Struthio camelus: one gene and its partner. The protein of the gene in region 1 purifies or fractionates together with the protein of each later gene. This does not show direct contact. Links are inferred from orthologs where the notes say so. Each region holds a gene or a part of one and is shown on either strand. Other genes may lie near its edges.

Region 1 (15,605 bases):
AGTTGTACAGGGCAGCACCATCATCCTAAAGCTTCCTCGAGGATCGCACTGGAGACGTGACTCAGTGCCTACCAGCTGCAGTCAGCCACCCAGGCGGTGGCTGTATGCCACTGATGGTTTGGGCCGACCTGCACTGAAGCAGAGGAGTATGCTCATCTTGTGTTTTGCTAGCTGACCATTGGTGGCAGGGGCCCTGAAGGAAGCACAGATGAATAAAGTCTGGAGAGACAGTAAAAAGAGGCTCCTCTTAAAAATGCCCCACGTGTGCCTCAAAACATTATTTTACTGTTAGAATCATCACTAAAACTTACTGGAGTATCCATTTTATTTAAGATAAACATCTATAAGCGCAAGAGAGACCAAGTTTACAGTCATTCTGCAAGCAAAGTTTATAAGCCTGAGGTTGACAGGTATGGTATTAGTAAATATTTCATACAGCAGTATGACAAAATTCCCTGACGTGAACTTAAGATAAGGTAGTATAGTTTCCCAGAATCCAGAATAACTGCATGTGCTATTGTGCCTGAGCTGGTAATTCACTTCATCCTATTTCTCAGTTGGAGGTTTATTGATTTGGATTGCGAAATAACTAGATTGCAGACTGTAGGTTGCATTTATAGATGTTTACAGTTAAAGGACAAACAGTTTGAGGGGTGGATTTTCCAAATAGCTTTTATCTTAAATATATCAGAACGTACACCCTTGGAAGAAAATCCCTGAGGGGCCCCTAGCTGTGTTATGTTGGCCCAGTGTGTAAATACTACAGTACACCCACAGTGTGCGTGTTTTGTGCTAGGCCAGAAAGGACTATTCCATTCAAACCCTTCTGCATGCTCATGGTTGTGCTACTTGCAGAAGATTTTGGTTTGGAGCACACGTGGAACAAATGAGATCAGAAGTACCCTCTGAACCAAAAATGTCTGAGCACGGGCAGGGAAGCGTTCCTTAAGTCAGTTTTGCAGGCAGTGCTGTGTTCTAGGTCCCTGGTCACAATGGCATGTGCGTTATTGAGCTTGTACCCCCCTACCTAAAGGAAACATTTTCCAGTCTTGATTTTATTTTAGTCCTAATTAAAAGAATAATAATAGAGAGAGAGAGAGAGTTAGGGCTACTTGGTAGCCAACAGAGAAGGCATGTGAACTGATGTGTACCTTAGAGGCACGAGCTGTCACCAAGATGTGAACAGTGCAGCAAAATAAAGCACTCCAGGCCCTAGAATAACTGAGCTGTTACACCATTAGGGGTGAGGTTCATGGATGGTGGGGGATGAAATGGTGTCTGGCCTGCTGCTTTTTGCAAAGTGTTCTTTGCTAATGAGTTATGATCCAGATTTTCCTTGTCTCAAAGTTATTTCTTTCAGAGATCAGTGTACTAGATAATATACCTTTCCGCTCCAGGCCTGTTTCTGGAAAGTGTCTCTTCCTCTTTTAAGTTCCTGTTTGAAGTCCAGGGGTACCCAGGGAGGTTAGCTGCTGGCGCTTCATTAGCTCTGTTGTTATGATGCCTCTCTTACCTCACACGCTGCCCAACTCTAGCTGCTAATTGTTTAAGTGACAGTGGTGAATAGGACAACTACGCATGCGTCTTCTGCAGAGAATTTAAACATGTTAAATCATGTATGAGACCACACAAGGGGGAGACAGTATGCGCACTGAACCTAGGGTGAACTGCAAAACCCAGGCCAAACCCAGAGCCTTCAGCAGGTAAAAAACAGTTGTTACACAAGGGAAGCAAGCACCAAGCGGACTTTTTGAGACATCTCTCAAAGACCTGGCTCCTAATGCGAGAGAGTAGTGGGTACTCAAACTATGAACTATATCAGAAGGGCCTGCTGGTTAATGCACTTGATTTAAAATGCATTAGAGATGTGGCTGTATGGATCTCCTTTTGCTAAAATGCTTTTTCTATACCATTGTATCAAAAACATTCCTTATTTAGACCACCTGAGCCCCACTGAGACAATGTTGCAGCAGGATGGCTTAAAGTCCCCTGAGAGGGATCCATGACAGAAAACGGGAAGGACAAACCATACAAGCCTTCCTCGTGGTGGCTTGAGGACATGCTATCTTAAAGTGTTACCAACAGGGGCATAGGTTTACACAGTTTGTTTTGCAACGGAGCCCAAGAGCAATGCTTCATCTTTGCCCATCCACCATCTCTGTTATCTCAGCACGTGCGGGTCTTTCATTTAGTGGTTCCTGCACCAGGCCTGGTTAAGGCGGTTGATCTTTCCTTCTAGATAGAGAGACCTGACCTTGTGCTTCACAGTCAATGCAGGTGATAAGTAATTTCTGAGTTCTCTCTAGGACAAGATCCAAACAGAAGTGTTACACTTAAGCCAACTATAATGTTTTGAGCACGCTTGAGTCTTCAAGGCAGCTTCCCATACTGCTTGTTATGAGGAGCAAAATGGGCCTGTGGACATTTGAAGAAGTGCCATACGCTTTTTTTTTTGTTTGTTTGTTTAATTGTGCAACAAGAAATACGGACTTTCGGTAAGGACAAGGACAGGCTTCCTGTAATGTTTTCTGTGTTGAAAGTGGAGTGGTGGTGGGAAATTCCTAGCCCTGGGGATCCGTTCCAATTTCCTCTTTCTTTATGTTTGAATCACTTATAAATACCCTTTCTGACTGACTCTGAGGACATAAGACAAAACTTCATCTCCTTGTGGCTTCGCTCTTCTGCAGCAGTGAGTGGTTTTGTGCATCTGAGCGAGAGAAGCAGTGTTTTTATCTGGTATTTGGGAACAGGACTAATGCTTTAGCATATAGGATTTCATTGCGCTCAGTTAAAAGGAGCAGCAGGGAATGCTAAAATGCAAGTTTCTCATGCCTGTCTGAGAGGAGGCCTGAGTATAGCTTGTGCTTCTGCAGCGGGCATCAGTCCTTGCAGGGGAATAAGGGGGTTCTTGGGCTGGCTATCAGTGTTGGGGGCAGCATCCGCTACTGGTGCAGGTGCCCTGGAACAGCTGTGTGATGAATGTTACATCAGAAATCTCTAGAAGGTGCTTCAAACGCTGCGAATCTCTCTGGTTTTCTCACAGGTCCGTGACAGCCTTGGGAAAGGAACTATGAAGCTCTGTGTCTGCTTCGTGTTGCTCTCCATCATTGCATGTGCAAGTGCTGAAAACCCGTTATACAGGGGTGGAAAATTTGCCTGGGATGCCATAGGAGGTCAGTTGGTCTGTGAACCCAAGTCTTTCTCTCAGGAAACCACTCCCCAAGCAAAGGGACTACATGCAGTCCCTGGGTGCAGTCCTCTGGGCAGGAAGGTCCACACCTCCTCCTCAGAGCCCCTGGTGGTCTCTTACTAGCAGAGGGCAGCGATCAGCCCCTGCAGGCCCCTTCTGTGAGCACACCCCTGTGAAAGGCCGATGTGCAGAAGTGCTTCCCTGTGTTAGCGTTCCTCAGGTTTTTCCAAGCAGAGCACAAAGGGTTTGACAGGATGGGCCATGGCTCGGGCTTGAAGGTGCCCCTGCAGCTAAGAACAGGAACTGCAGGAGCAAAAGCGTGCTTATGGGGAAGGAACTTTTTGTGGATAACCTGGTGGCACAAACCCTCTGGCAGCCAACATCCCAAAGTGAAGCTGCTGGCTTCTCTGGTGCATAGCACGGAACCACAGGGCCATTGCCCTCTGTAGAGAGAGAAGCGAGGAGCTTCCTCTGCCCCTGAAGTGTCACGTCCAAGCTGTGCAAAGCTTCTTTTCAAGGAGCCCCCTTTCTTCTTTGCAGATCTCCCGTAGAAGAAGTGAAGGTTAGTAAAGGAGCTTTCTCAGGGGAGCCCTGGGGACGCTTTTTGGCCCAGCAGTAATCCATGAGCCCCTGGCTGAAATGGTACTCGTTGCTGGGGAAGACTCTTTAAAGTTAACATAATCTCTCTGCTTTATTCAGGGGCATGGGATATGTACAGAGCATACCGAGACATGCGTGAGGCAAATTATAAAGGTGCTGACAAATACTTCCATGCTCGTGGGAATTACGATGCTGCCCAAAGAGGCCCTGGCGGTGCTTGGGCTGCCACAGTGATCAGGTAATGGAGCGTGCGTGGCTTGTGAACAGCGACTTACTGGGGGGCTGGGCATGTTAGTTAGCGTGGAGCCCTTGCTGACTTGTACTCAGCTTTTGACCTAGAAAGAGTGGAGGCAAGGAAGCGCTCGACCTCCGAACAGCTTGTCTCCTTAAGGAAAGGAGCCTCTCCTCTTGCAGGGGAATTAGGGTTTTCTTGTTCTCCGAAGCGGGCAGCTTTCCTACCCCCTGTGTTTCTGGTGCTACGGGACTCTTTTTTTTTTCCCCTTGCTGATTCGTTTCCTAACAAATTTGTGGCTGTTACGGTAGTCCTCAGATAAGGACTCGGCATACGTTTGCTTCTCTCTCGCATTGAGAAGTCCTGCGGAAAAGCTAACCTGAGGCGAGCGAGGAAACCAACGCAAAGCGATAGCGTGACAGGGGAGTTACGGTTGCTTCAAGTGGTCCTTTTTTTTCCCCCTCCCCCCTTGCCAGCAACGCCCGGGAGAAGTGGCAGAGCCAGGTGAGCGGCCGCGGCGCCGAAGACACGCGTGCTGACCAAGAGGCCAACGCCTGGGGCAGGAGCGGCAGGGACCCCAACCACTACCGGCCGGCCGGCCTCCCCTCCAAATACTAACGGGGTCCCTCTCTCCCTTTACCCCGTGCTCCGCATAGCCTGAATAAAGACATGTCCCCGCTTTACCTCGACTCGCCCCTGTCGCACTCGCGGTTCCGCTTGAACGGGCGGCGCGGACCGGTTCAGATCGGCTGGGGAAGGGCGGGGGGGGGGGTGGGAGGGGCACGGCGCGGCGCCGCCCCGCGCCGCCAGGGGGCGCTGCGCTACGCGGCGCCGCTCTGGCGCCGCTCTCTCGCCGCCTCGTTGGCGGCCCGGCGGCGGCGGCGGCGGCGGCGGGGCGCCATGGACCGCAACCCCTCGCCGCCCTCCAGCGAGGCGGAGGAGGACGAGGGCGACGCGGTGGGCGGCACGGTCTACAGCAAGCACTGGCTCTTCAGCATCCTCACGCGCCTCATCGAGGTGCGGCGGGGCCGGGGTGGGGCGGGGGGGCGCCCCCGGGGCGGGGCTGCGGCGCGCTCGCTGTGACCAGCGGCCGCAACGGTCGCAACGGCCGCTGGGGTCCGCGGCGCAGCTCACGGCCGCCGCCTTGCCTTGCCCCTGTCCGCGCAGGTCATTAGCCCTGAGCAAGGGGAGCCCGGCGAGGGCGAGCGGACGGAGCTGGACGAGGAGATGGAGAACGACATCTGCAAAGTGTGGGACATGTCGATGGACGAGGTAGGAGGGGGCCCCGCCGGGACGGAGCGCCGACGTGGTTACGGGCCGCTGCTGCTGCCGCCGCCGCCGCCTTGCCGCGGCCGAGCGCCTTCGGTCCCAGCGGCGGGGCTGGAGGAGGACGGACGGCTGCGGTAGGCAGCAGGCTGAGCGCTGAGCGCCCGCCCTCGGCTCTCCGGTTCAGCCGGCGTTGCCTTTTCCGCTTTGCGGAGCGGAGAAGGTCTGGTGAGCGAGCGGGGAGCAGACCCCTCGCGAAGGACCCCTTTCCGAGGCTGAGCAAGCGCCTGGTGAGCGCTCTTAAGCCAAGCACCCGTTGGCAAAAGAAGGCCTTTTCTTGCTTCCCAGCTGCTGGGCGCCATGCTGATGTTTGAGGGTGCAAAGCAGGGTTGCATGTGAACGTAAAAGAAAAAAACACGATGTGCCAGACCTTCCCCTCCAGGTGTCTCGGGGTTTGTGCAGGGCTAGTGCTTAGGATCAGCTGGCCTAAGTGAGACCGTAGTCAGGACTGGTTTCTTGTATGACGTTCAGGAGTTGAACAGGAGCCTTGAGTCGTTAGGACACCATACCTTAGCTGTATGTGGTAATTGGCTGCAATTACTTCAGGTGCATAGCTTTTATTTTCAGCAACTTGGCTATAGCGATAATATTGATTCTGTTTCTAAAATGGTATATTTCTCTCTAGCCATCATAACGCATCATAGTAAAAAACGTAGTTGTCTCTGACAGATAAACGGCAGCTGTAGATTCATAGAGGCAATTTAATGTAACTTTTTGGATTTTTTTCTGAACGTTCTCAAATACTAGAACCAAGTAAGACTTTTTTTTAATCCAGCTTCTTTTCTCAAGTAAGAGATTTTTTTTCACGTTCTCTCTTTAGACATTTTTGAATAAACATGGAAGATATGTCCTTCACTCCTAAACAGAGAACTAATCTCGTGGTTTTATGAGGTGAAACAAGGAGGAGATTTCTAAGACTTTCCTCCTTTGTATGCTCTGAGCAAGTGCTAATGGTAATCCCATCCTTTTTCTTTTTATGTGCCTGGATTATGTCATGGTCCAAGAAAACAGCATTTCCTGAATTCTGTGTCTGACCCTCCGTGAGATAGAAAGCAAAAGAAACTGAATGTGACTGTTCTGTTTGGCTCCTTGTACAACATACCGCCAGCATCTTTACTCTTAGGGGCTTGTTGAGCTTCTGTTATTGAAGAGTGAGGATGGTAGTATAGCGTGTTATTGCCAGTAATTGTTGGCAAATACTTGATGTTTTGTAATGAGTTCAACATCTATGTTGAACTGTGGACTGATCTATGTGATCCAGTCCTTGTTCTGTGAGAAAAGGTTTGACTTGTGTTCGGAAATTATCAGTCAATTTGCTTCTCCATTTGCTTTTTCCACAGGATGTTGCTTTATTTCTTCAAGAGTTCAACGCCCCAGATATATTCATGGGAGTTTTTGCCAAGTCAAAATGTCCTCGCCTTACTGTAAGTACGGGCTGTCACAAAGCTATCCCATGTTAATAGCAACAGTAGATAGCGCTGTACATGCATTCATAAAATATCGCCCTCCTCTTCCCATTGCATTTTTGAATGAGTAAGGGAGGAAACAGAACACACAAAATCCAAATTTAATTTTTTTTTTTTTTGCACGGTGTATCTAACATGGTCTAATCAATAATTATTTCAGTAATGCTGAAGTTGATATATGTCACTATTGATAAAGGTTTAAGCATTCTAAACCATGTATTTTTAAAAATCTCTATACTCAGAAGATGAGTTTTGCTGGAATTATATTGAGAGCCCTTTCTTTTATGAGGAAGTGAATATCTGAGAGTCTTGCATTTATATGTTGATGTTTTTGTTCTTAGGACTCTATTTTAATAGTAGGGGTGTCAAATTAGCTTCAAAACAGTGTGTGTGTGTGTGTGTGTCATATAAAAAGAGAGAGAGAATGCGAGCAAAGTTAGTTTCAAGGTACAGTCTCTTCCATGGAACACCATAACTATAACAAAAATCTGAATAGTATCTCTCATGAGTATGTTTATGTTTAGGTCAATCTGACAACATTGCTTAGAAGATCCACATCTCTGTCTTGAAGTTGATGGATTGTATGAACTCGGAAATCAAACTGGAAAGCCTCTCTGAACCTTTCTTACTTTGTATGGTGGCTGTGGAAGTAAAATTGTGAACTATGTCGCAGCAGCTTAATAACACTGTGTTTTGACTTTTCAGGAAATCTGTGTGGGAATACTGGGAAATATGGCTTGTTTCCAAGACATATGCATGTCTATTAGCAAAGATGAGAATCTTGGGTAAGAGCGTACGTGCTTTATACCAGCATACGTGAACACTGCTTTTAGTAATGGATTTTGGACTGAACAGGTGAACTTATATTATTAGAATTTTTTTTAACTAATAATTTGACTTGATAAAATAAATAGGATGATGTCTTCTGTCCTGTTAAATGCGAGGAAGATAATTTAAATCAAATTTACTTACTTTCTGGACTCTCACCATCAAGCAAAATATATTATTATAAAAGGAACTAAGTTTGCTTTCCTTGCCTCATCTTCATTCAAGCCTTTTTGGCTACCCATAACTGATTGAGAAGTGTTCAGTGAAGATAAAAGAAAGGATATAGACCATCTTTTTTTTTTTTTTTTTACCATCACCAGTCAAGCTCTTTGAATCATTAATTTCTAAGTCTGGCGATGTTGAAAGACTGGAAGTGCATGCGCAAGCTGGAAAAGCTGACTTTAATTTTATAGCTGTAGCCATAGTCTAAGATTAATCTTTTTACAGACTTTTTTCACAAAGATAGTTTTTATTAAAACTCTTATCTTGAATTTTCGGCTTACAGCCAAGTGTTACTGCAACGTTTGTGTGATTCAGACTCTCCAACTCTTCTGGAAATAAGCAGGTAGGAGTTCTTGATAATTAATATATCACTAATTAATATAGTTCTGAAATGTTCTGAGGCCTATGAAGAAAACTGCAAATTGACAGATGGACTGATTATTATTATCCCATCCTACCCTTTTGTAATTTCCACATTGTTCTGGAATTGATTTGCTGTGGGCTATATTTCTATTTCTGGCACATCAGTCCAATTATTTTGGATTTATAGTGGTACAGTTAAAACCAATCTGTTGGTTTCTAATTTGTTAAATGGGCAATTCTTGTCTAGGTTGCTGTTAACTTGCCTCTCACAACCCGAGGTGGCCAATGTCTGGGTTGAGAGAATCCGAGAAAGCCCTTCTGTCTTTGACTGTGTTTGCTTTATCATGTCGAGCTCTACAAATGGTAAGTTCCTATAACAAGCTGTAAATTAGTAGGTGTTTGCAGAAAAAGTAATTGTTGAAGTATGCCGTTTCAAAGACAAGTATTTTCAATTGGGAGTGCAGAATTTCTTTACAGTGAAGTGGACCCAAACCTAGATGAGTAAGAAAGGTTTTTGGAAGATTAAAACAAAGTCTAATAGAGAAATTTTCTTTTGGCACAGTAAGGGGAAAGGGAATAGTCCTTATTAAGAGATAGACATATATCACTCTTGAGCCTTGAAATAAGACCTGCTTTAATTTTTTTTTCAGCTCAGAGATGTATTTTTCAATTTTAAAAACTGCCATGTTTGAGGAATGCTAAGTGATAGAATGGTTCAGTTCCTCTGGCAGCAGAATACTACATAGCTTTGGCATGCAGTCCAGTGGTACTTAAGTCTTTTCTTTTTCTTGATAGCGCTAATCTAGCAAAATCCTAATTAGGCAACAAATAACAGAAACATTTTGAACAGCATTTATTTTGCAAGTTCAGTTGAATTATAACAGCAATAATTGTTTGTCTAGAAATCCTGATAATTTAGCTTTTGGAATTTGAAGAATGTCAGCGCCACTGTTCTTTTTTTTAGATGATGTAATGCACAGAAATCACACTTAGTCCAATTGCAGTCACAGATCTATTTAAGTGATATGCTGATTGACAGGTGTAAGATTAGCAGAAAACTGTGGATTTAGGGACAAATGTGGGGGTTTTGATTTCAGGAGCAGAAGTTATGACTTTTCAGCAGCCTCAAGCTCATAGTCTCTTTGCAGAATGAAGTTCCTACTTTGTAAATTGCATGATAAAATAGAAGGTGTCAGTGAGCTTTCCAGCAGTCCCTGTTTATCAAGCTCTTCACCTCAATTCCTTTTTGTAGCAAAAATAAGCATAGTAACCCTTAGTAGATCATGAGTGAGACTAATATATTTCAGTACTGTGTTTTCTCTTATTACTTTTTTATGTTAGCATTTGGTGAACTCATTCTTGCTGCTCATTTTTTTTCTGTTCTTGAATCTGATATATTCTTTCTTGTGCAGTTGAATTGCTGGTCAAAGTGGGTGAAGTGGTGGACAAACTCTTTGATCTAGATGAAGAGCTAATGTTAAACTGGATTAAAAATGGCACTTGTCAGTCCGTGGGACCATCTATAGATGATTCCCCTGAAGAACTTCCAGATTTTAAGATCGTGCCTTGTATACTTGAAGCAGCCAAACAAGTCCGGTATGTGAGTTTTCCTTTCGGTTTCATGGCTGGGGAGACTCCTCATGACCTCGTTAAAGCTCATGTGTTGAAAATCTCTCTTCTGTGGGAGCTACATAGTTTGCCAGTTTGGTAGAATGCCTCGACTTATCGTTCGAAATTAGCGAACTAGCTTGTAAACAAAGAACACGGCAGTGATTGCTGATGGTCTTTTAAGCATCTGAAACAAATTGGAAGTATAAACTTCTCAGTAATCAGGTCTTTAATTTGGCTTTGGTTTTTGTTCTATTCTGTGTAGCTCAGATAATCCAGAAGGACTTGATGTTTATATGCATATCTTGCAGCTCCTAACCACGGTGGATGAGGGCATTCAGGCTATTGGTAAGACACTTGAGTTGCTACATATGGTGGGACCAAGAACGGCAGTAACTTTTAGATCCTCAGATATTTAATGGGAAAAAACAATTAAGGTGCCTAGATTAAATTTGTTGGGTTTGTGTGTGTGTGTGTGTGTGGTTTTTTTTCTTTACCTTCTCAAGTGCAGGCTCCTGATGGAGGAAAAGAAACTTGGAGTTTGCTTTATGACCTAGTTTGCCATGAACTCTGCCAACCAGATGATCCAGCAATCGTTGTTCAGGAGCAGAAAACTGTATTGGCCTCTATTTTGTCTGTACTTTCTGCTATGTTTGCCTCACAGACGGAACAAGAATACGTCAAGATGAGGAAAAGCAAGTGATGCGTTTTTCTTTTCTTCTTCTTCTTTTTTTAAAACTATTTTTACAATTGAGTTTATGTATGTGGGGTGAAAGATGGTTAATTTATTACTGTTTACTAGCTGTCAGTTTAGAACACAAAATTCAGATACGTGTTTGAACACTGTAGGGTTCTTTAATGGTGACCCTAAAAACCACAGCTAGTACAAAGCCCAGGCACTGGATACCTCTGAAGAGCTATGGTAATAGAATCTGCAGATTGTGTTCAGTCCCCTCTGCATTGGGTAAAGTTGGAGGCGTGAAAATTTGGTAATTCATCTTTGCTAAGAGATGATGTCTTGATAGTGGTTGTTGTAAAAGAAGGAGATATGGCACTAGCTTAAAAGCATCTTTATCGCTTGTTCTATGCATTGAACAGCCTTTCTAATTAAAAGGCTATCTTGGGCATGTGAGTCAGTGTTATTGCCCCACAGGACTGTGGAAAGAATTGTACTTGCTCTAAGCTACTACCGGAGACATTCTCCTCATATGTCTTACCACTGGCATATAATTTTTATAGATACAGGTTAGCTGGCAGTAAAGAGTGTTTTGGGTTTTTTTGTTATATTTCCACTTGCTTTTTTAAAACAGTTTTTGTCTGGTATAAACACAACAGTGTCAGAATGTACATTCCTATATCCTTTGTATAAAATCTTCATATATGTTTCAAAGTTCTAATCCATTGAGAAAGGGTGGGGAAAAAATTTTGGTGTTAAACGTAGTTTCTTGTTACTATATATTAGATATGCCTCTGATTGGGAGCTTGATTCGTATCTTACAATACATGGAAGGCTGTGGGAAGAGATCTGTGGATGACTCAAAGGAATCCAAACAGGATGAAACTGGAAAGGCAGAACTAAATGAGGAAGATTTCCATTTGAAAATTTTGAAGGATATCTGCTGTGAATTACTTTCCAATATGCTTCAAGAGCTGACCAAGGTAAAAATAAAATGTTAAGAGAGATTTTTGCAGAGTAGGTAAGGAAAGAAAATGTTACTATTAATGGGGCATTTTTCTGTGGCCTTTCCCCTTTCTTGTGCAAGTAAAATTCCAAACAGGAAATCACTCGAATGGAAGTCAGTTTACATAAGGAAAGGAAAGAATGTCAAACCCTCTATTATATTATCACCTCTTAGCTGGACTTCTTTATTATGGGAGCATTAAGACTAAGACACTGTTTTCACACCTTTTTGACCTTTTTGTATTAGTTATGTCTGGTATCGTCATAGAACTGTTAAAGTCTGTTCCATGTTCTGCCTTTTTATGAGAACAAAGTGCATACTGTACATGCTCTGTGTGCTACTGAGAGTTTGTTCCTCTGACAGCTGTTCATGACATGATAGTTGTATTTCTTGTCTTTTAATTTTCCAGGAAAATATATTAGAAGGGCTAAATCAGGGACATTTAAATGAGCAGACATGTTCCTGTGCGTTTCAGAACCTCTTGCCTTTGTATTTCACATCGGTGAGTATATGACAAAGTCTTTAATGTAGCTGAAAAAATACTACTTTGGTGGTATGTCCTTTCATAAGCAGGTATAGATGTATGACAAAATTGCTTATGAACAGGTAACATGTCATATTAGGCAATCTTATTTTCTCCCTCTTCTGGCTTACTTCAGCCAGAACTTTCCCTAGATCATTGGCTGATACAAGGGCCAAACTGTGCTGAAATGAATGAAGGTCTGCAAACTTATGCTGAAAATGTGTCCCTTACATTCTTGTAGAATGATTATAATAAGCGTATTTCATACGGAGCTTTTCTTTGTGTATTTTGAAACAGTAAAAGTTTTGGGAAGGTAATAAATCCCTGTATGTTTTGGAACTTAGGCCAGCTGAAATTGCAGGCTTTAGGAGGGAATGATTTACTATGGAACATTTTCCACTCTTCTGTACAACGGCCTTTCCTGGCTGCTGTTGATGGGAAGATACAGGAGTGTAGAAGCCCTTAGACTAAGTTCAGCGTAAGAATTCTGTATTCCATGGAAACGTGTTTCCTGTATTTGCAATTTATTTCCAGGTGGAGAGCTTCCTTGAAGTTTTGCGTGAAGCTGATCAGACGCTTGCTGACAATCTAGAAAAACGTTTCCCAAGCCTGAAGGTCCACACCTAAGAGTGTACATGAAATATTTTCCTTCTTTGGGATGAAGATTTTTTGACTGTTTCTTTACAGTGTTTTAGAAGTCAAATTTTCAGTAAGTGCAGAAGAATAAGGCAATGTCCTTACCAACAGATGGCTTGTAAGAGATGTTCCACGTAGCCCAGATTAATTTAGGGTTAATCTAGTCTGCATGGGGAAGGAAATGATTGTAAGTTTAGTTCTGCCTTTTCCATCGTGTTTGCTCTGGTGATGAGAGACTGTTGATTTCTAGTTGCTCTTCTGCAGAGTAGCATTCTTTGAATAACTCTTGATCCTGTGCTATTCAACTTATGTTGGAACAGTTAAATGAATGAAATGCACTGAGTATAGTTTTTTAACATGATGCTGGCCTTTTCTAAGTTGCTGTTGGCAGAAGGAGGATTGATCCATGGGAAATCTCAGATGTCCTCTGGTTAACAGGTCATCGTCTTTTCCAAGCACCTGATAAAAACAGAGTTAAATTACACAGGGAAGAGGCTTGTTTTAAGTCCTATCTGTACTTGAGCGGATATTGTAACAGAATTGTATCATCCTGCTCCTTTAAGATCTTTTCACTTCTTCTTTTAAAGCCTCTTCTGCGCTGCAGCTCTGAGTCATCTAGGGCCTGTGCAGTTCAAATGGGTGTGAGAATATCCTTATGGATGGTCAATTCTTCAACTTCCAGCTATTACACCCAGTCACCCAGAGTTAAAGTTGTAGGGCAGGTTTAGATTTAATCCCTGGCATACTTGCAAACTTTCTGCTTTATCTAAGCAGTCTGTACTTCAGTTTAGGAATATAACGTGTATCTGACAGTTCTTTCCTCATTCGTGTGGTTTATGAATTATCTGTGAGTGACCTTAGAAGTGTCATTTTAGCCTGGGATTTTCAGGGGAGCTTAAGGTGTTGGCTCACTTCTGGTCAGTGAATTCAATGGACAGTCTTCTCAAATCCCACTGTTAACTACCTTAGATTTTAACTATATTTTAGCTACGTTACTTTTTTACATCACTTCCCTGCATGCAGTGCCGCTAACATTCTTTTTTTTGTGTCTAAAAAGATGCATTAACCACACGGCAGCTCCAGCTGTTTCTATAAATTAGAGTGGAAAACAGTTGATCTTTACTATGTTTGAGATATAAAGGAAAAAGGGAGCCAGAGCATCGGGAATAACTTAATAACATACACACACCTGCTATCTATGTTTTTATAGGCTTTAAATATTGTGCTGGGCCATGTTTTGTTTGCCCTGAGTTACATGTATATGTGGCAAGATACAGTATCCGTATATGTATATAGCCTTTTCATCCAAACTTCTAGTTTTCAGACTAACCTTCCCCTTGGGCTGCCAGTGACCTCTTAGTTGTTGTCAGGGAATTTAGGATTAGAAAAATCTGACTTGCCTCATTGAAAAGAATTGCAATGGTTTCTATCAATTTTTGTATGCTATGTTTATTGGAGAAAACTGGTAACTCTGAATAGGATGACCTCATTTTCATACTACTTTGACAGTTTTTGGATATTTTCTTAAACCTACAGATTTGTAATAAAGTTTCTTTAAAAAAATGTACGCTTTTCTTCATTTTAAGTGTCAATTAAATTCATGTTCTGAGTCACTGGAATTGTCAATTAGACTCTTCACTGTATCATTTGTAAGAGCAAAACTGAACCTCTTCCTAACCTAAATATCCTGTAAAATGTGTTGTCCTTTATTGGATGTTCCTTTTAACTATCTCTTGCTTTCTTCTCTTAGTCATTTTTATGGCTTGGAAGTTTATGGCTCTGTCATCCAGTTGTTACATTTTTCTGAACTTACCTTGTCCCAGGGCATACCATGAATATCTTTATAGTAGTCCACCCAGGTTAAGAATTATTTCTAGTTTGCACCTCTTGAGATTTGGTGCTTTCCAGGGCTTGCTTAATGTAATGTACAAAAAAGCTGAAACAAGATCTTTTGTTTTATTTGCTTCCTCCTCTTTGCCAATACACAATTATGCAGTACTGGCTGATTAATTGTTAAATGTGGTCTTTTTAATTACAAGGAATGAGTGAGATGCAGCATTCCCCTGATATAATTACTGCCTTAAATTGGATGATATCTAACACCTGTCATGCGGCAGAGAAAATGACAGATATCAATCAACGGGACACCAGCTCGGTCCCATCTTCCCACTTTTCTGCACGAGAAGCAGCAGTAAAAATTGGTTCCGTCGGCTTTGTTTCAGCACGCTAATAATTCAAGTATGTCAGGAGTTTTTATCCTTGCTAAACATAGTGGAATGGAGACTGAATTCCCCTTTTGCCCCAGCAAACAGCTATTCTTGCGCAGGCTGTGCTGCATGAGTCGGACAGCACTGTCTTTAGCAGCAAGAGGCTGGGGCCACATTGAACATAGGGGAAGCGTGGAGCATTTTGAGCGTTCAAAAGTGGTAGAAACTTTCTTCATAGTAGCCAATGATTGATGTGTTCAGCAGTGGCGCCTGTATATTGCATAGTCTTGCCAGCAGGGATCTCCCTGAGCTTGTGCTTCATGTACATCATGAGTCCTTTTAAACTGTAAAGGGTGTTTTACTTTTTTGGTTCCCTTTTCTAGCCACACTGTCCCACTGCCTGCTAAACCAGATTTGTCAGGGCTAGTTGTTTCAGAATACCTCTCTCTGTACAAGCGGGCAAGCAGCTTAATTACCTCCATAATACCTTCCTCTGGGGAGAAGAGAAAAGTATTTCTAGCTGCCTTGTGCAGAGTTCTGAAGAAAAAGCAAGTATACGAAGCATTGGACTAAACTAGCAAATGAGCTTGGTCCTATTTGGACTGAGCTGGATGTGAATTGTGGCATGTGGCACCTAGATAATGAGAATTGAATAGAAATAGAGATGGAATTCTAACTGAATAAAAATAGAAATTCTACCTAGAGGTAGAAATTGGACAGAA
Region 2 (16,237 bases), on another chromosome or scaffold:
AATGAAAAAATGGTAAAGACACATTTTGCCCTGTACTCAATGAACTGTATCTGAACTAACTTTCACTGGCATAGCTCTAGAATGATGTTGGCTTTCTATCTACAATGAACTAACAGAATTCAAAATCTAATTATGGAATGGAAACATTTTCTCAACTCCAGAAAACTGGACAAGGCTCCCTGTGGAGGTTCTGTATTAGGAGACAGGATAATTCTTGAGCTCTGACAGCTCCCTTCCCTGATCTAGATGAGCACATCTGTTCTGCTGCAACCCCAACCACATCCATCTAAGAAAGCTGAGGATGGGCACAGAGCCAAGAATCCCGTTTACATCTAACACCAGGAATCTCTCACGTGTCATTGCAAACTAGTACAATTCGGCTCCTAGAATTTCATATCAGTTGCTTCTAACACCTCTACAACAGAAAGATGAGTTTCACTATGACTCAGACAGCTTCACCTAGAAGATCTTTAGATAGTTCTAACTGAGTAAAGAGCTAAGTCAAAGCAAGCTACTCCAAATAATATAAAAGAGTTTAAGATCTTAAATTTTAATATAGTAGAAGCAAACCTGATATTGTAAGGTGATTTGGTGGGCAATTTTTCAGCAAAATAGGTTTTTAATCACCAAATGTCAATTCCTTAAAATGGAAATGTTTTAGAGCCAACAAATTTAGGCAGAATATAGGAAAGGTTCCCTTTCCTTCTTTCACCTTCTGCTCCAGTTTTCCATGCAGGCTGCTAGGAAGATAGGTACTCACAGTCTGCCAGGAGTGCTGCATTTATTCCACAAGCTTTCTAGTATTGCAGCATAAGAGTTAGAACTCCAGCTAAAGCTACGGGCAGCTTTTGAAGACCAGCTGCCCTCTCAAGATAACATATACACTTCTAACCACCGGGCTAAACTAACAAACCATGATTTGCAGGATGGAGTACCTAAGATCCATAACCATTAATTGCATGCATAGCAACAGTACTGGCATTTAGATTTTTCATACTCTCCTACTAGCACGACTCCCATTTCCTGTGGAGTGCAGCAGATCTTGTGTATGTCTACACTATTTGAAATCTGTATTTGCAGCCTATAAATCTGGACTGTTCATCCATATTGTTTTGTTTAACTTGAGTCAAGCCATGTTTACTCACAGCCAGGCTGCACCTGCTCATCTTTTAAAAGTAAGGTCACTAACGTAAAAGGAACATAAAAGAGCTTGTAGCAGATTGAAGCAATGTAAAGGCACCCTGCAACATCTAGATTTCTTGATTTTGGGGGCGGGTGGAAAGGGTTGGGCAATACATTAAACAAAAATCTATTGGAAATTCCAGGGTCATAGGAGAAGTTTGCTCACTCTGAGGGAGACTTTTTTGGAGGCTTCTGATGGCAAATGACTTTAGTGAGCACATGGGTCAAGTCAATTGCAGAGTGGACCAGCAAGTCAATCCACCTAGCTGACCAACTAGAACTTCTGATGTATTACAAATTTGCAAGCATCACCCCTCAGGAGTGGGGAAAGAGCTAGAATACTACTGATAAACTACTGAAGTTAGTGGTTTAAGGGGTGCCAAAGAACTTACTTCACTGACCCTCATCTGCTGAACCTTTGCCAGAGAGGGAGGACAAAAATGGAATGCCTTGAACTTTGCCAACGAATGGGTTCTCTCTTGCGGCTTTCTCTCTTCTTGCATTTACAAAAATGATTCTGCCTGGTTAATAGACACACTGCAACTCATGTAGAAGCTGGAAGGGGACAGAAGGAGAAACTGAGAGAGAACATGTAGGAAAGGAGATCAAGCTGTTGCTTATATGTTGCCTCACTCTCTCCTTTGCATTGTTCCTAATAATGACTAATATGACCCCTTGATGAGCCAGTTTTACTCACTGAGTCAGCAGAGAACTCACCCAACAAAATACAGAACTTTCTGCTGGCTTAGTGAGCTGAACTGGTCACTGAAGTGCCAGAAGAGCACTAGAGTTAGAGCAAGGGAGGCAGTGGAACTAGGAGGCTTACATATGGAGAAGAGGGAAATGGAGTCACCCCTTTTGGCATCACCAGTGTATTCGAGCAGTTCAGCCTGTCTCATCTAATTGCAACCTTACAGCAATACTGTGATGATACTGCAAATAAACCTTGCAGCCTTCAATAACAACTGCAGTAACTGTGGATTTGAAAATGGGACAGGAAGGCATTTGAAACTGGAAGTTGAAGATTGAAGACTTCAGCCCAGCAGTCCTAAAAAGTATCCAGTTGTGGCTTTCAGTGCGAAGAGTCAGGTGAACCAGGTGAGAAAGAGCACTACCCAGCTGTCCTGTTGCAGGGACTCAACCCTGCAACCTGCGCTCAAGGCACAACCCATCCGCTCTGAACCTTGTCTCTCTACCACTGGTTACCAAGTAGCTAAGTGTTGTTCTGTGGTATGATTACTGTCACTTTAGCAAGCTAGAAAGGAGTGTGCCACCTGGTACTGTTTCAGTGAGGTCTCCCATCAAACCATTAAAGAACAGAAAAGAAAACAGCAGAGAAAAAAGAAGTGGCTGTCTGCACAGAAAAAGCTGCAGCCTGGAGTACCCCACGGTTAGGCAGCATAAGCAGTGCATAGCTTTACCACGCTCCCTGTCTAGGGAAGGCTACATGCCTTCCCCCTAAGCAGTACTAGCAGTACAGACAGCTTGAATCCCAATTTAATATAAACCTCCAGTTACTTGTTACCCTATGGTGACATCTTGTGGATCAGAGCAAAATACCCCTGCCTAATTCCACAGAGCCATGAGTGCCCTAACCTGAGAAATCTCTTTCCCAAGTCTCATGAGTTTTATAGCACCGTATAGGGTAGATGGAATTGGTTTAGCTTTTCTTTAATTTTTCCTGCTCTGTAGATAGTGCCAATGAGCACTGTAGGAACAAGCTCTACACAAAGAACCAAAAATAGAAGTAAAAAGGGAAAAAAGCAAACAGGAGAGTAGAGCACAGAGTCTGAGAAAAGAAGAGAGTAATAAATAAATGTCATAAACTACATTTTCTATCAATAAAAGTGTTTCCAATGTCCAAAGCATAGTACAAGCAAGTGTTGCGCTATTAGGAGTTAATAGCTGAAGCTAATGGGAGCCTATGCCTGCTTGTCACAGCAGCAGGAGCATGCAAATAATCATCACCACACAATCATAGCTCTGCAAATATTAAGCAGCTAAACCTCCCAGGATGCCTGTGCATGTAGTATCATTCACACAGGCTGGAACTGAAGATTCAGTTCAGATTCAACTTGGGATACTAAGAAATGGAAAAAGTTAGCAATACTCCGATAAAAATATCAATTGATTTTGGAATGTTAATTTTGGAGCCTCCAGTTTGAAATACTCAGGCATTATTTATAAATAAAATTACAAAATTAATTTCTCATATTTCTTTAACTATACTAAACTGTATACACCACCTACAGAGGTATAATTTTTATTAATCTAGCAAGGAAACTTGGTATGAATGATCATTCACTGTCTAAATTAAATTTCTATGAAATTTAATTTAAAAATTTTGATAGGTATCAATCTATTTCTCTACTACAGTAGATTTTTATTACTTTAACACAAGTGATCAGCCAATGTCTGTGGCTAATTGTCATTTATTCTGAAAATACTTTCACTAAAAGCTATTCCAGTATAACTTCCTATGGAGACATATTTATCCAGAAGGTAATTTTCCAAATAAAGAGTTATTCTAAAATAGCTGTAGTCCTTTAAATTCACATCCTATCTTACATCAGAATAATACGTAGCAAAGATGCTCCAGGTTTCTGAGGGAAATACCACCTTACATCTTCATATTCACAACAATTTATACATCTAGAGAACAACCATTCAAGTCCAAAAGAAAATGCTTAACTCCTTAGGAGTTCTGATCATACCCTCAGTGAAGGAAATGAATATTTTAACAGTAACTTCAAGGGGAAAGGATAGAGTCTGTGTGCTCTAATGCTGTAAATCACTAAACATTTTATTTTAATTATTAAAAAACAACAGCTTACCAGTGTGCAATATTTTGCTGTCTTGCCATTTTTATCCAATACCTCTGAACACCTACGTTGACTAGTGTAAACAGATGGTATGCTGAAAATGATAAAAGTTTAAGTTATGGTCCCGTAACATGGGAAAACATTCATTCTATGTAACAAGAAATACATTCATTTGTGACCTCTGCAGGCATTTTAAAATACGATACATCAGCCCTGACTGATGCAGAGAAAAGAAAGAGTTCCATGAATGTCACCTATCACGGAGATAGGATAAAAGTGCTTGTATTTCAGGTACTCCCACAAAGCATTACAAGAATGGGAGGAGCAGTGAAAGCTGGAGAGGAGGAGACTATGGAAAGGCAGCACACATGGCAAGTCATAAACTCATTAACTGAGCACCTGTTGAAAATGGTAGTGAACAGGTTTGAGTAGCCTCTGGTTGCCACACAGGCCTATGACTGTGCGGGCTCCCGAAGGGGTGCTTAGGCAGGGGTGTTTACCCAACATTGGCAAGAGGCCCTCTGCAGAGCCTGGCCCATGGGCAATGTCCAGCACAGGATGGTACTGCTGACTTCTGCAAGGTGGGCAGGGCCCTGTCCGGTTTCCAGCACAGGCACAAGCACACGTGCTTCTTGTCACACCAAACAAGAGTCAGCCAGTCACAGAAAATGCCATCAATACTCTCCAATAAATCTGCATTTAGAACAGCTAATTGGGAAAAAAAAAGCAAGTGTAGGTATTAAATGAAGTTTATTGAACTATAAAACCTAGCAAGGAACTAAGTTAATAAGAAAGCACTCCTTTGCCCCAAGCTAAAAATAAATGATATTTGATTCAGCAAAAATCCTGAAGCTTACACAATGCAAATTATAGCCAAACTGACACCTGGTTGAGGAAAAATATCAATACACACTAAAGCAGTCTATAATATTAGTCAGATACAAAGTAACCCACATGGATTAGTAATTCTGTCAGAAAAAGAATTTAAAAATCAGAAAAGCACAAGACACTTCAAAGCCATGTACCACATACAGCATGATCGTGATATTTTATTAACTTCAAAACAAAATATGAATTAGCAGTTAATTACCTATTAAAGTTGCCATGCTAATGAGAAATACTTGAACAACAAAATTGTATGTAGCAGTAGACTAATACACCTTCATCCCTTGGGATTACTTAAGAAAAATAAATTGTCCCCGTGTGCACCACAGACTAATTCCTAAGAGGACTTTGCTTTGTGTGGTTTTAGAGAACAAAAACAAATCTTAGTGCTAAATGAAAAGTATCAGAAGGAACATACATATAGACATAGGTCATTAGGACTCAGTATATATTAGAGAAAATAACAGGGACAGAAGTGTAGTTTGTTTCAAATTTGGAGGCTATACAGATGCCTAATAACGTTGACATACAATGCTGACATAATTACTGCTTGAACTGTTGAATTCCAGTTGCCTTTGCTAGGCTAATAACAGGAAATACTGCCTCTGAAGTTTACGCTGGCTCAACAAGCTACCGAGTTCATAACTGAAGTCAATATGTAGAGTTAGAAACTATGAATAGACTAACTGGAAAAGGGTGAAAAAGGTGCATCTCAAGGTATAGCTCAGGATAAAAATGTATTGTGAAAAAGCTGGCCAGCAAAACAAATATTTATTTTGTGACAATTTACAAGTTTTTAAAAAATCCATCCTGAACAAAAAGGCAGACAGAAGTCCTTCAAAAGGCCACTCTGGGCATACTCATAATAAATTAACCTGAGGCTTTTAGCTCTGCAGACCGCTGATTAAGATTCCCTAGTGAACTTAGAGAACTAATGCTACTGCCCATCTGAGAAAGCAAGAGGCATAACTAAACGAGAAGGTTACACAGGAAAACTCTTCTTCACAAAACACATCGCAAGACCACATACTCTTCTGAGCAAGTGCCTAGAATTAGTTATGATAGTTTGGTAATGTTTTGGAAGGTCTGGCTGTGGACATAACCTATAGGGCATATTAATTTCTCCCTTGTTTCCCATGCAGTCACCATCAGGTAAGGAAGCTTTTAAAAACATATTGTATCTTTTATGGCTGTAACTCTTCCAAAAAAAAGTGCTAAGCTAAAGTAACTCTTCAGGAAACCAAACCTGGTAATGCCTGATGCCCCAACTTGAAACAGTAGCTCTGAGAACTGTAAAAGACACTGTTTTATCCAAATGCTAATGCTTAATAACAGTCAAAACTTAGCCTAAACATAAAACAGTTACTTTTCAGGTGAGTTAGCTCTCTGAACCAGCTCATCACTCAGTCCCATCATTTCTAATGCTGGCACATGGTGAGGAGTATGTGAGCAGGAAAGATGCTACTGGCTTTAGAGCGCTTGAAATCCATCAGGTCCAATTTCAGCTGCAGAGGAACTGCCTGGGAGGTCCAACTACAGCTAAACTAAATGGACTGCTCAACTCCCTTGCATTAGAGATAGCTACAGTTCATGCAATAGCAAATTGAATTCATTTGTCAGGCCAATCAAAGTCTGTAGTAAAGAAAAAGGTTTGCTGGCAGTTAATTCACTGAACTGAATCAACTCACCTTGTGGCCAAAGAAATACCCTATCTGACATAAAAAGAGAGCAGGGAACTGACTGAGGGAGGAGGAAACTGTCCTCTCAGTGACACATGGCAAAACAGCAAGAAAAAAATAATATGACTTTTATTTCCAGCAATGGCTGCTTGAACTTCACTGAGAAAAAAAGTAAGTTCTGGTTGCTGCGTCCAGTAAGAAGGGTGAAATTCCTGGAGTTTGCTTCAAGGTTGTCAAAGTAACCAATGGCTCTCCTAGCCTTGGACAAAAGCAAGGCAGAGAGATAGACTGTAAATTCCTTTTGTGCATCTAGAATACTAATAAACATTTTTATTTAACTCAAAAAAAAAATCAAATCATACGCTAAATTTCCAGCTGGTTCAGTTGCTGTTTGCCTATTTTGCCTATTTGCTACCCAGCCAGGAAAAGTGCCAGGGCTGGCACAGGAGGAGGGTAGGAACATGTTCCTCAGGGCAAGCTGTGTGAAACTATGATAGTTTCTCACCTGATCTTGTAGGGAATCTCGTAAATCTCTCCCGGCGTGAATCTTGACTAGGCTTGGCTGCCTGTGTCAGCGATGACTGCAAAGTCAAAGGGGGAAATCCATATGGTCCGTATACAACGCAGTGCGCGTTCTGCCTCGGAGAGCCGCATCAGGCTTGTTTGTAACGAAATGTGCCAACCTTCCGGCACCCTCAGGCCCAAAACTGTGCGTCTCTTCTCCAGCACCGCTGGGCACAACTTCTGACACTGCAAGCAGACATGTAACCCACCAGCACAGATCCCTGCCGGCCCTGCAAGGCTGTGACTACAGCTTGGCGCTGCCAGGTGCGCTCAGATTCCCTAACAACGGTCATCAAACCGGGCAGCGACTGCCACCGAATTAGACAACTCTTCTGGGGGCACCGAGGGTTTGGGGGAGGAGAAGGACCGGCTCTGCAGGTCAGTCAGCCCTTGCTGGTGCCAGGGCAGAAGCAGGGCACGGTGCTCGGTTCTGCCCCAGAGGCGCCGACGGAAGAAGCGGGGACCTGGAGGGGAGGCGACCCCCCCCCCTCCGTGAAACGGGGACCGAGAGGCGGCTCTGGCGCTGTGAGGGGGAGCAGGCGCGGCCGTTGGTGGCCCCCCCCTCCGCGAGGCGCGGCCGTTGGTGACGCCCCCCCCCTCCGCGAGGCGCGGCCGTTGGTGACGCCCCCCCCCCCCCTCCGCGAGGCGCGGCCGTTGGTGACGCCCCCCCCCTCCGCGAGGCGCGGCCGTTGTGGCCGAGCGCGCGCGGGGCGTGAGAGAAGGGACGAGCAGGGGCAGCAGCGCGGCGCCATGGTGCCCGCGCTGTGCACCGCGCTGGCGGGGCTGCTGCTGCTCCTGCCGCTCCTGCTGCGCTGCGCCCGGCCCTACTTCTTACAGGACTTACGCTTCGCCCTCACGATGGCGCGGGTGGCGGGGAGGGCGCGCAGAGCCGGAGCCGGCCGTCCCGCCCGCACCCTGCTGGACGTCTTCGCGCGGCGGGCGGCGCGGACGCCGCACAAGCCGCTGCTGCTCTTCGGCGACGAGGTCTCCACCTACGAGCAGGTGGAGCGGCGGAGCAGCCAGGCGGCGCGGGCGCTGCGCGACGCCGCGGGGCTGCGAGCGGGCGGCTGCTTGGCCCTCCTCATGGGCAACCGGCCCGCCTACGTCTGGGTCTGGCTGGGCTGCGCCAAGCTGGGCTGCGCCATGGCTTGCCTCAACTGCAACGTCCGGGCGACGTCCTTGCTGCGCTGCTTCCAGAGCAGCGCGGCCACGGTGCTGCTGGCGGCCCCAGGTGAGGAGAGAAGCCGCTGAGGCGGGCCGCGGTCGCTGGGGAGAAAACCCACGGGCCGAACGAGCGGAGGCTGCTCCGCGCAGCGGGGGCACCCCCGCGGGTGGTCGGGTCTCGCCCGTGGGGCCTTCCCGAGTCTCCCCGGGGCGGTTGGGTGTCCCATGCCCCGCGGCGCCTCGGGTGGCCGGCCGGCCGCTGCAGGGTGCTGAAGAGCAGGGCCTGGCTGCTTCTGCTGGTACCTCGGCATCCAAGAGCTGAACCTGGGGATTTGAGAGGTTACATCAGACCAGAGGGAAAGAAGAGTTTTCTGGATAATTTACCCCATGTTTGCATTTTCTGATCATGTGTGAGACAAGAGAATTGCGCTCAGGTGCTCTGTTATTTGATAAGGTTGATGAAGCCATAGTGCTAAAATAACCCTCAGTCACACAACGTTATTCCTAATGTTCACAGTAATGCTCAGGTTGGAAAGAAACAATTACGGTCATGCAAAAGAATCCTCTTGGTGTAACTGGACAGTGACTTAGACACCTTAAGGTGGTTGCAGTCTCTATAAAAGTTTGTGTCAAGTTTCAATTCAAAGACAAAAAAGTGAACACACCTAGATGAACCACACTACTTTTTCATAAAATAGACGTGTTGGTTTGTTTTAAGTGGAAAACTGCATTCTGTTCCACATTGAATAGAAACCTTATTTCATGCCTAGTCTTTCAGCTTTCTGTATATATATATTTGTATATATGTACATATATGAATGCCTGACTGTACGGGAAGTCAAAGACACTGTTTGTCTGCCCAGAGTTAAAAACATTTACATGAATATATACCCATTCTCAGCTTAGATAGTTGAACTCATTCTTCTACTGCATGTGATCAAAGTATTTTACTCGCCCCAAACTTTAGGAGTTTAAACACTAAGTTTTCTCCTTTCTTGATCAGTTTCTACTTCACTGAAAATAAGTTCTGTAGAATCTCTGCAATCTCTTCAAAATTAATTGGTATTTATCAACATTTATGGGAAAAACTAATGTGTGCAAGAGAAAATTAATTTTTCTCCTTCCTTCTCAACAATTTGAGTAATCAGGTATTGACCTCAAATTTTCTAAAAAAGCCTTCAGCTCTGGGAAGGGAATTTTTAACGAAAAAGTTTGCTGAAAATTGAGCTTTATTAATGAAAGTTTACTACATGCTTAAATCCACTAGTGATTGCTGAATATAAGGAAAGGAAAGAAGTCTTTTTCTGTTGGACCTTGATGCTCTCTGTCCTTATTAAGTTTCATCCTTTATTATCTTGCTTCTTTAGGCAAAAGGTAAATATTGCCTCATCAGAACTTATCATAATACATGATCATGTCTGTGTGCTTCCATAGGCAAGTTTCCAGAAAAAAAAATATGCTGAATTAATTAATACAGAGTATATGCTATCAATGATATCTACAACAAAAATGAATTTACAAGTTTCCTGGAGAATTATTCATCTCTAAGGTGCCAGCTTGTAAAATGTGTGCCTTATTAATAAAGGGCCTTATTTTCTTTCCTTCATGGCTGATTGTGGCTCAGGAGCGAAACTCTTCCCCATCCAGCTTTATTCTTTGTGCAGCATCTGTGGGGTGCCAGAGAACATGGTGGAACAGAGGAAGACAGACCAGGCTATACTAATATTTTGAGATGTCCTTAGCTGTTCACTAACAGAAGCCTCCATGAGATGTTCATGAGTAGCTCAGTGGCAAAGGGACATCCCTTGTAATCTCAGGATATTTTTTGGACCCAAGTTTCAGCAGAAGTTCAGAACTGTTTGATGGAGGATTCTAAAGTCTGAGAGACTTGAAAAGTTTGCTTTTGTGCAATTGGGACAACCTTCTGATGCAGGTCTGGGCTTCATCTGTAGTCACTTAAACTGAAAATACAGTTTTGAGTAATAGCATTAATTCTCAGTATTAAAATTCCTGAGAGATTTGTTAATTTAGTAGTATTTTATTTACTCTCTGTTTTGAAATAAAATAGGTGCTGAAAAAATAGATACCATTATGAAAAGGTTTTATATTATGATATTTCAATGAAAGGTGTTGAGGATTCATTTTAAATTGTTTGAATGGATAATTCTGGAAGGCATTTAGTCTAGATTTCTAAGGAAATAAGGTATATACAATTGCATCAACTGTCTGCTCATCTTGCTAACAACTCTTGAATCCATTACCTAGTTCCATTTGTTAAGGGAATAAAAGTTTCAAGGATGATTACGTACCTTCAGACTTGGTAGAAGTTGTTAGCCGGTAGAGGAGAGAGATCAGCATTACTGCTTCAGTAAGAGAAAGGCAGGCAGGACTTGATGATGCAGGGAGTATGCCTCCTCAGATTGCATATATCTGCACTCATGCTGTCTCTTGTTGATTGGAGATACTGGAGGGAATATATGGGGGAATGGGGCATGTGGAGGAGACAGACATAGGAAGAGGTAGGACACAACTACCTGGGAGTCCAGGCGTCAGTAGTTCCATTACTTATGGAGTAAGTCACTTTTGCAGTTCTCCTCGGTGTGTTGAGACTTTATAAAGGTAAGGCTCATCTTCGTGCATAAAACATGGTGAGATTTAAGTAGCACCTACTTTTGTGTGAGCAGTTGCTAGGTAAGGCATTTCTCACTGTGGAGACGAAACATTAGCAACATGGAGCTAGTTAGGCCAGGTGCCTGCTACCTCAGGGTGTGCAGGCACAGGGAAGTGTGCCTGGATGGCACCTTTTTAATTCTGTTTGTCCATTCAATCTCCTGCTGCAGAAGATCATATAAGTCCCAGTTCTGCGGGGAGACACCATTTCTCTTCAGTTCTTTTGCTGGATTCTGAAGTGACTTGGGCATGAGTTTCTCTAACAGCAATTAAATATGAAAGCTCCTGAGGCAAAAGTTGATGCACTGATAGTACAGTTCACTGAATAGTACAGAATTTTGTTATAATACTTTTTTTTTCTGCTCCTTTAAGAGTTGAAGGAATCTGTTGAAGAAATACTGCCATTGTTGAAGGAAGAAAATGTTAAAGTTTATTACCTAAGCAGGACATCTGCTACAGACGGAGTTGAGAGCTTTCTTGATAAAATAGATGCTGCTTCAGATGAGCCTACTCCATTGTCTTGGAGATCAGATATAACCTTTAAAACTCCTGCCATGTACATTTATACCTCTGGTACTACAGGTAATGTAAATTCATAAAAACGGTATGGAAGGTCACACATGCTTCCTGACGTTATGATTTTTGAGTAAGGAAAGAATCTGTCACGTCGCATAATTCTTGTGCTTATTCATTCCCTCTGAGGTGAATGAAAAATTGATACTGATATCTAAAACCAAAAAAGCATACAGAACATAGGCTGACTTTAAGCATCAAGTCTGTGGGGAGGGAAGGGTGTAGAAGCCAATTAAACATACATGTTTTCTGCCAGTAAAGTAACCGTGCATCTGCTGTCTCTTGTCCCTGGAGACACTGCTGGCTTAATTATGTGTCTCAGCACCCATCGCACACCTGTACTTTGGATCATGAACTCTAAATGCCAGCCATGAAGTCCTTGGGTGCCAGAGTACCAAAAACAGTGAATGCAGCATGAAGTACAGCTAGTCATAGCCACTATGCAAAACTGTAGCTGGTATAGGAGCTGCTGCCTGCCTTACAAAAAGGTATCTAGTGTTAGGAGCACTCAGCTACAGCGCAAACTCATTGACAAGGGTGAAGACAAGGTAAGGTATGACTCCACCCTAGCTTATTCCTTTAGCCTTTCAGTGAACAGCACTCCCCTGGAAGGGAGGAAGCATGAATTTGAATCCTTTTAGGCTGCAGAATACCAACATCTCAGGTGTCTTTCATCCTTGGTAAGAGCTCTAACAGCTCCATTCTTACATAAATGGAAAGCGCTGCCGTCACTTTGTCTTCTAGCATTTATTTCACAAGAATAAAGAAGTAGTCAGTTCAGCAGTGTATGATGGGAAACCAGGAAAAGATTTTGTAATATAAATTCCAATTTCACATAAGATGATTCAGAGCTGTAAGGAAATACCTAATTCCAGGAGAGATGCAAGATTTCAGACTCATTGCTGCTTTAGCATTACCATTCGCATTGCTCAGCGTGCTAAATTCTTCCAATCTCATTCCTTGGTACCTGTTTTTCCCCATTCTCTAGGTACTTATTCCTAGGTACCAGAGTATTGGGAATTTGGACACTTAATGGGAGATAATCACCTAAAAGTTACTTGTAGGAAGACACTCTAAGCCTCACTAAGGCTAAACCCTAACATGTGTTCTAGACACGAAATGCATGCTTCCCTAAACTCTGGAACTATAATTTGCCGAGTCTAATGCAAGCATCGGAGAATAAAAGAGAAGAAACCCTTAAATCCTTGTGAAACTGAGTGGTGTTACTATGTTTATTGTTCACCTTTTTGGCTGGCTTTAAATAGGTCTTCCCAAGGCTGCGGTGATAAACCATGAACGAATAATGCTAGCTTGTGGTTTGTTTGATGCTGCCAAGGTTACCTCAGAAGATATTGTGTATACTGCTCTACCACTCTATCACAGCTCTGCGCTCCTCATTGGAGTCCATGGATGCATCATGAAAGGTACAACACACTCGACTAGCACAAAGTGTTACTGCACGGAATTCATGCACAGATGTGATCATACAGAGTTGCTTCTTAGCTACCAGCCTTGAAGTGAAATAGTTGGTTACACATGTCCCAATAATCTGGGACCGCATAATTCAAGAGATGTTCTCATTTCTGATTACTCCCTGTTTTTCACATGACTTACACAGATATTTGCCCTATACAGAGTTTATTTCAGCACCTGGACAAACAGGATATGTCCTATCTTACATGACAGCTCTTTGCATAGTCTTTGGGCTAAGCAGTACAGAGTGCCATATGTTTCATCTACCATAATAGCTTTTAACTTTTTGATGAACAGAAATAGAGGTTGAATTATTCAGCGTGGACTGTATTTCAATATGTTTTAGGAAAAATATTTCTAAAAACCTATAAAACCCTAATTTTCCAAGTTTTCTACAATGTTGCACTAAGAAATTCTAGACAGTCTTATGATATCACAACAATTGATCCTTCTGGTTTTTGTTTTACTACTTCTACACAGGTGCAACTATTGTTTTGCGTGCCAGATTTTCAGCAAGCCAGTTCTGGGATGACTGCAGGAAATACAATGTAACAGTGATACAATATATTGGGGAAGTGCTTCGGTATTTATGCAGTGTGCCACAGGTAACTCTACTTTGTGTGTGTGTGTGTGGCTAATTAGACTAGGAGTATTGACTATGTTCAAAGAAAATCTAACTGTAAGGAAAAGCTAATACACATTAACAGTCACAAATGATCCATAACTTAGCATCTATCAGGTTCATTGAGCTTACTGTGCACTACATGGCCAAAAACCTCCCCTTGCATAAAGGCAATGGATGTAACTCTCCCTCGATTTCTGGAGTGGCTTTTGGCCACTCCGGAATGGAAAAGAGAGGAGCAGGGGAAGCCTTAGAGCAAAAACATACTTCTTGATTTTGAAAAAGTCTTTTTCTAAGTCAGAGTGATCAGTTCCCAGTTAACAATGTTTTCCATGAAAGTTTAGCAAAAATTATTACTTTATTGGAAAAACATTGTTTGATCAGCATGAGCTACATATGTGATTCACTTTCCCATTATGCTTTGTTAATCAAATTGTAATATACTGTTACTGCAAAAGGCTTCTCCCTGTATGTATGTAATGTTCTCTCTGGCCCAGGAATGCTTTTGGAAAGTCAAAATATTAAAATGAAAAGTGCATGGACTGTGGCAATAACAGTGTTGAAAACTTCTAGGTATAATTTAGTGTAGTAAGTTTTGTGTTTAAGTAGTTCTTTCTGCACAAGAGCTAAAGTTACTTTTTGCAGAATATTAAAGATATTACTCCAGATGAGATCTTGCTGATCTCCAGACATGAGCTGGGACTAGTAAGAGTTCAAGGAACCAGTTCCGAATAAAATAAACTATTCCAAAGATTTGAGTTTGAAAGAACTTTACATATTAATCATCAAATACATCCAGTCAATTAAAATAACACAGTAAGCAGTGTTCTTATTTACCATTTATACAGTGCCAAAGCAAACAGAATGTTGATGTGGGGAATCTTAGATAGTACTAAAAAGCTATACTCTTCTCTAATGAGGTTTACGATCTCATGGCACACTAACATGACATTTTTTCAAGGAAAAAAGAGCTGGTGGCTTGAATTAACCACTCCTTTGAACAGTGGAATAATCACAATTAATCTTTTATTTCTGTTAAAATGGATGGAGAAAACACACACCTTATAGATCACTCTGCAAACCAAAAATCAGTGAGGGACTCCCTAGGAACTAAAGGAGCTATGTCATTTCATATTTGGACAATGTGATACTTGGGTATTTTGAAGGTCGGAAACCTTAGCCCAAGACAATTGTGACCCCCCTCCCTCCCCCCCAGTGAAAGTTTTAATGAGATTATTTAAGCATAGCTACTTCTAAAGATACACTTAACATACTGTCACGATAGTGCATCTATTCATAAATACCTTCCTGCTAAGATCCCTCCAGTCATATTACTTAATCCTTGATTTCAAAAATGTCCTTGCAAAAAATTACTTTCATGGAGTTAAGCCTTGTGGGTAGCAATTAGAATTTAGTAAGAATGAAGGTAATATCAATCAGTTTTCTTAGCACCATTTGATAACCGTAAGTCAGAACAGAGGAACAGGTCTGCAGTTTATTTGTGATTCACGTATGTGTGCAAAATATCAAAGTTTTTTTCTGTTGCTGATTACAGAGATATGAAATAACTTCACTGAGATCAGTAGACTTTTTCAGGAAATTGGTATATAAGCAAGATTCTACTATTCTTAATAGTATTTCTTCATGAGTTGCTAGCCCAAAATGAACAGTTAATAACATAAAGTTTTATAATAATCTTAAGAGTAGGCCTCTGGATCAGAGCAGTAGTTATCATCAAAAAGTGTGGGTGAAGAAGATGTAAGCAGTGTTAAAGAAACTGGGCACTCCAAACATGTATTTACAGGTGGTGGTAAGTTACCTAGCAGTGCTGCTGCTCTTGGAAAATCCCAATTAGCAAAGCAGTCATAATTATCCAGTACTCAACTGGTAGAAGTAAAATATCCGGGGGGGGGGGAGGTGGGAGGGAAGGGGATACAAAGTGAAAAATTATTTCCTTTCATATAGCAATTTTACTGAGACAATAAGCTTAAAGAATGAGCTCATATACTTATGTTTGATAGAGTTGTGTCCTTTTTTAGTCAGGATACATATACGAACATAACTGAATCACAGGGCATAATACTCTGTAACTTCCTGAGTTTAATCAGTATCTAAAAGACATTTGCAGATGTCAGCAAAGTATAAATCAGTCCCTGAATGGGCTGAGTGAATTTGGTAATGTTAGCCACATAGAGACATCTAGCTTAATCCTTAAAATGACCTGGTAATTAAAAACAACAGATTAGTTAGATAAGCTGATGAGCCTGAATGGCTAAACCTGAAGCCCAATGAAAGAACTGAATAATACAGCTGAGTCGTATTTGAGGTATCTTAGAGGTTACACATTATTGGTGTCTGCTTATCTACAAAGACCAGATTTTCAGTAAGACCCAGGTTGCTAAGCTTCCATTATCTAACATAGGATTTTTTTATTTACTCAATATAGAGAATGCAACATGAGTGGAGAAAGCACTTTTACATAAGTAAAGTTTACAAGCTTAGTGTCTGGTGCCATGTACCCATAAGCAAGCTACTCTGAGTTCACAAATCTCCCAGAAAGATGCAATTAACAGCTTAGAGTACAAGAACTTGATTTTGTGGAT

Evidence for each region.
Region 2: the proteins of SAAL1 (region 1) and SLC27A2 purify together in Homo sapiens (co-immunoprecipitation; 3 studies listed by BioGRID and IntAct, with this or other methods). This does not show direct contact. The link is inferred for Struthio camelus from reciprocal best matches to the Homo sapiens genes SAAL1 and SLC27A2.

The regions. Positions count from the first base shown.
Region 1 is NC_090946.1:19,854,229-19,869,833, forward strand, and holds SAAL1 (protein SAAL1), read left to right. Parts: upstream 1-4,828; 5' UTR 4,829-4,922; coding exon 4,923-5,039; intron 5,040-5,189; coding exon 5,190-5,294; intron 5,295-6,688; coding exon 6,689-6,772; intron 6,773-7,519; coding exon 7,520-7,599; intron 7,600-8,147; coding exon 8,148-8,207; intron 8,208-8,474; coding exon 8,475-8,590; intron 8,591-9,639; coding exon 9,640-9,823; intron 9,824-10,100; coding exon 10,101-10,183; intron 10,184-10,341; coding exon 10,342-10,530; intron 10,531-11,297; coding exon 11,298-11,494; intron 11,495-11,926; coding exon 11,927-12,019; intron 12,020-12,574; coding exon 12,575-12,667; 3' UTR 12,668-13,211; downstream 13,212-15,605. Other genes in the region: serum amyloid A protein, read left to right, coding at 3,071-3,173, 3,890-4,028, 4,499-4,640. UniProt on the Homo sapiens protein: Plays a role in promoting the proliferation of synovial fibroblasts in response to pro-inflammatory stimuli.
Region 2 is NC_090953.1:12,393,993-12,410,229, forward strand, and holds the start of SLC27A2 (long-chain fatty acid transport protein 2), read left to right. Parts: upstream 1-7,815; 5' UTR 7,816-7,882; coding exon 7,883-8,363; intron 8,364-11,338; coding exon 11,339-11,548; intron 11,549-12,804; coding exon 12,805-12,963; intron 12,964-13,492; coding exon 13,493-13,617; intron 13,618-16,237. UniProt on the Homo sapiens protein: Mediates the import of long-chain fatty acids (LCFA) into the cell by facilitating their transport across cell membranes, playing an important role in hepatic fatty acid uptake.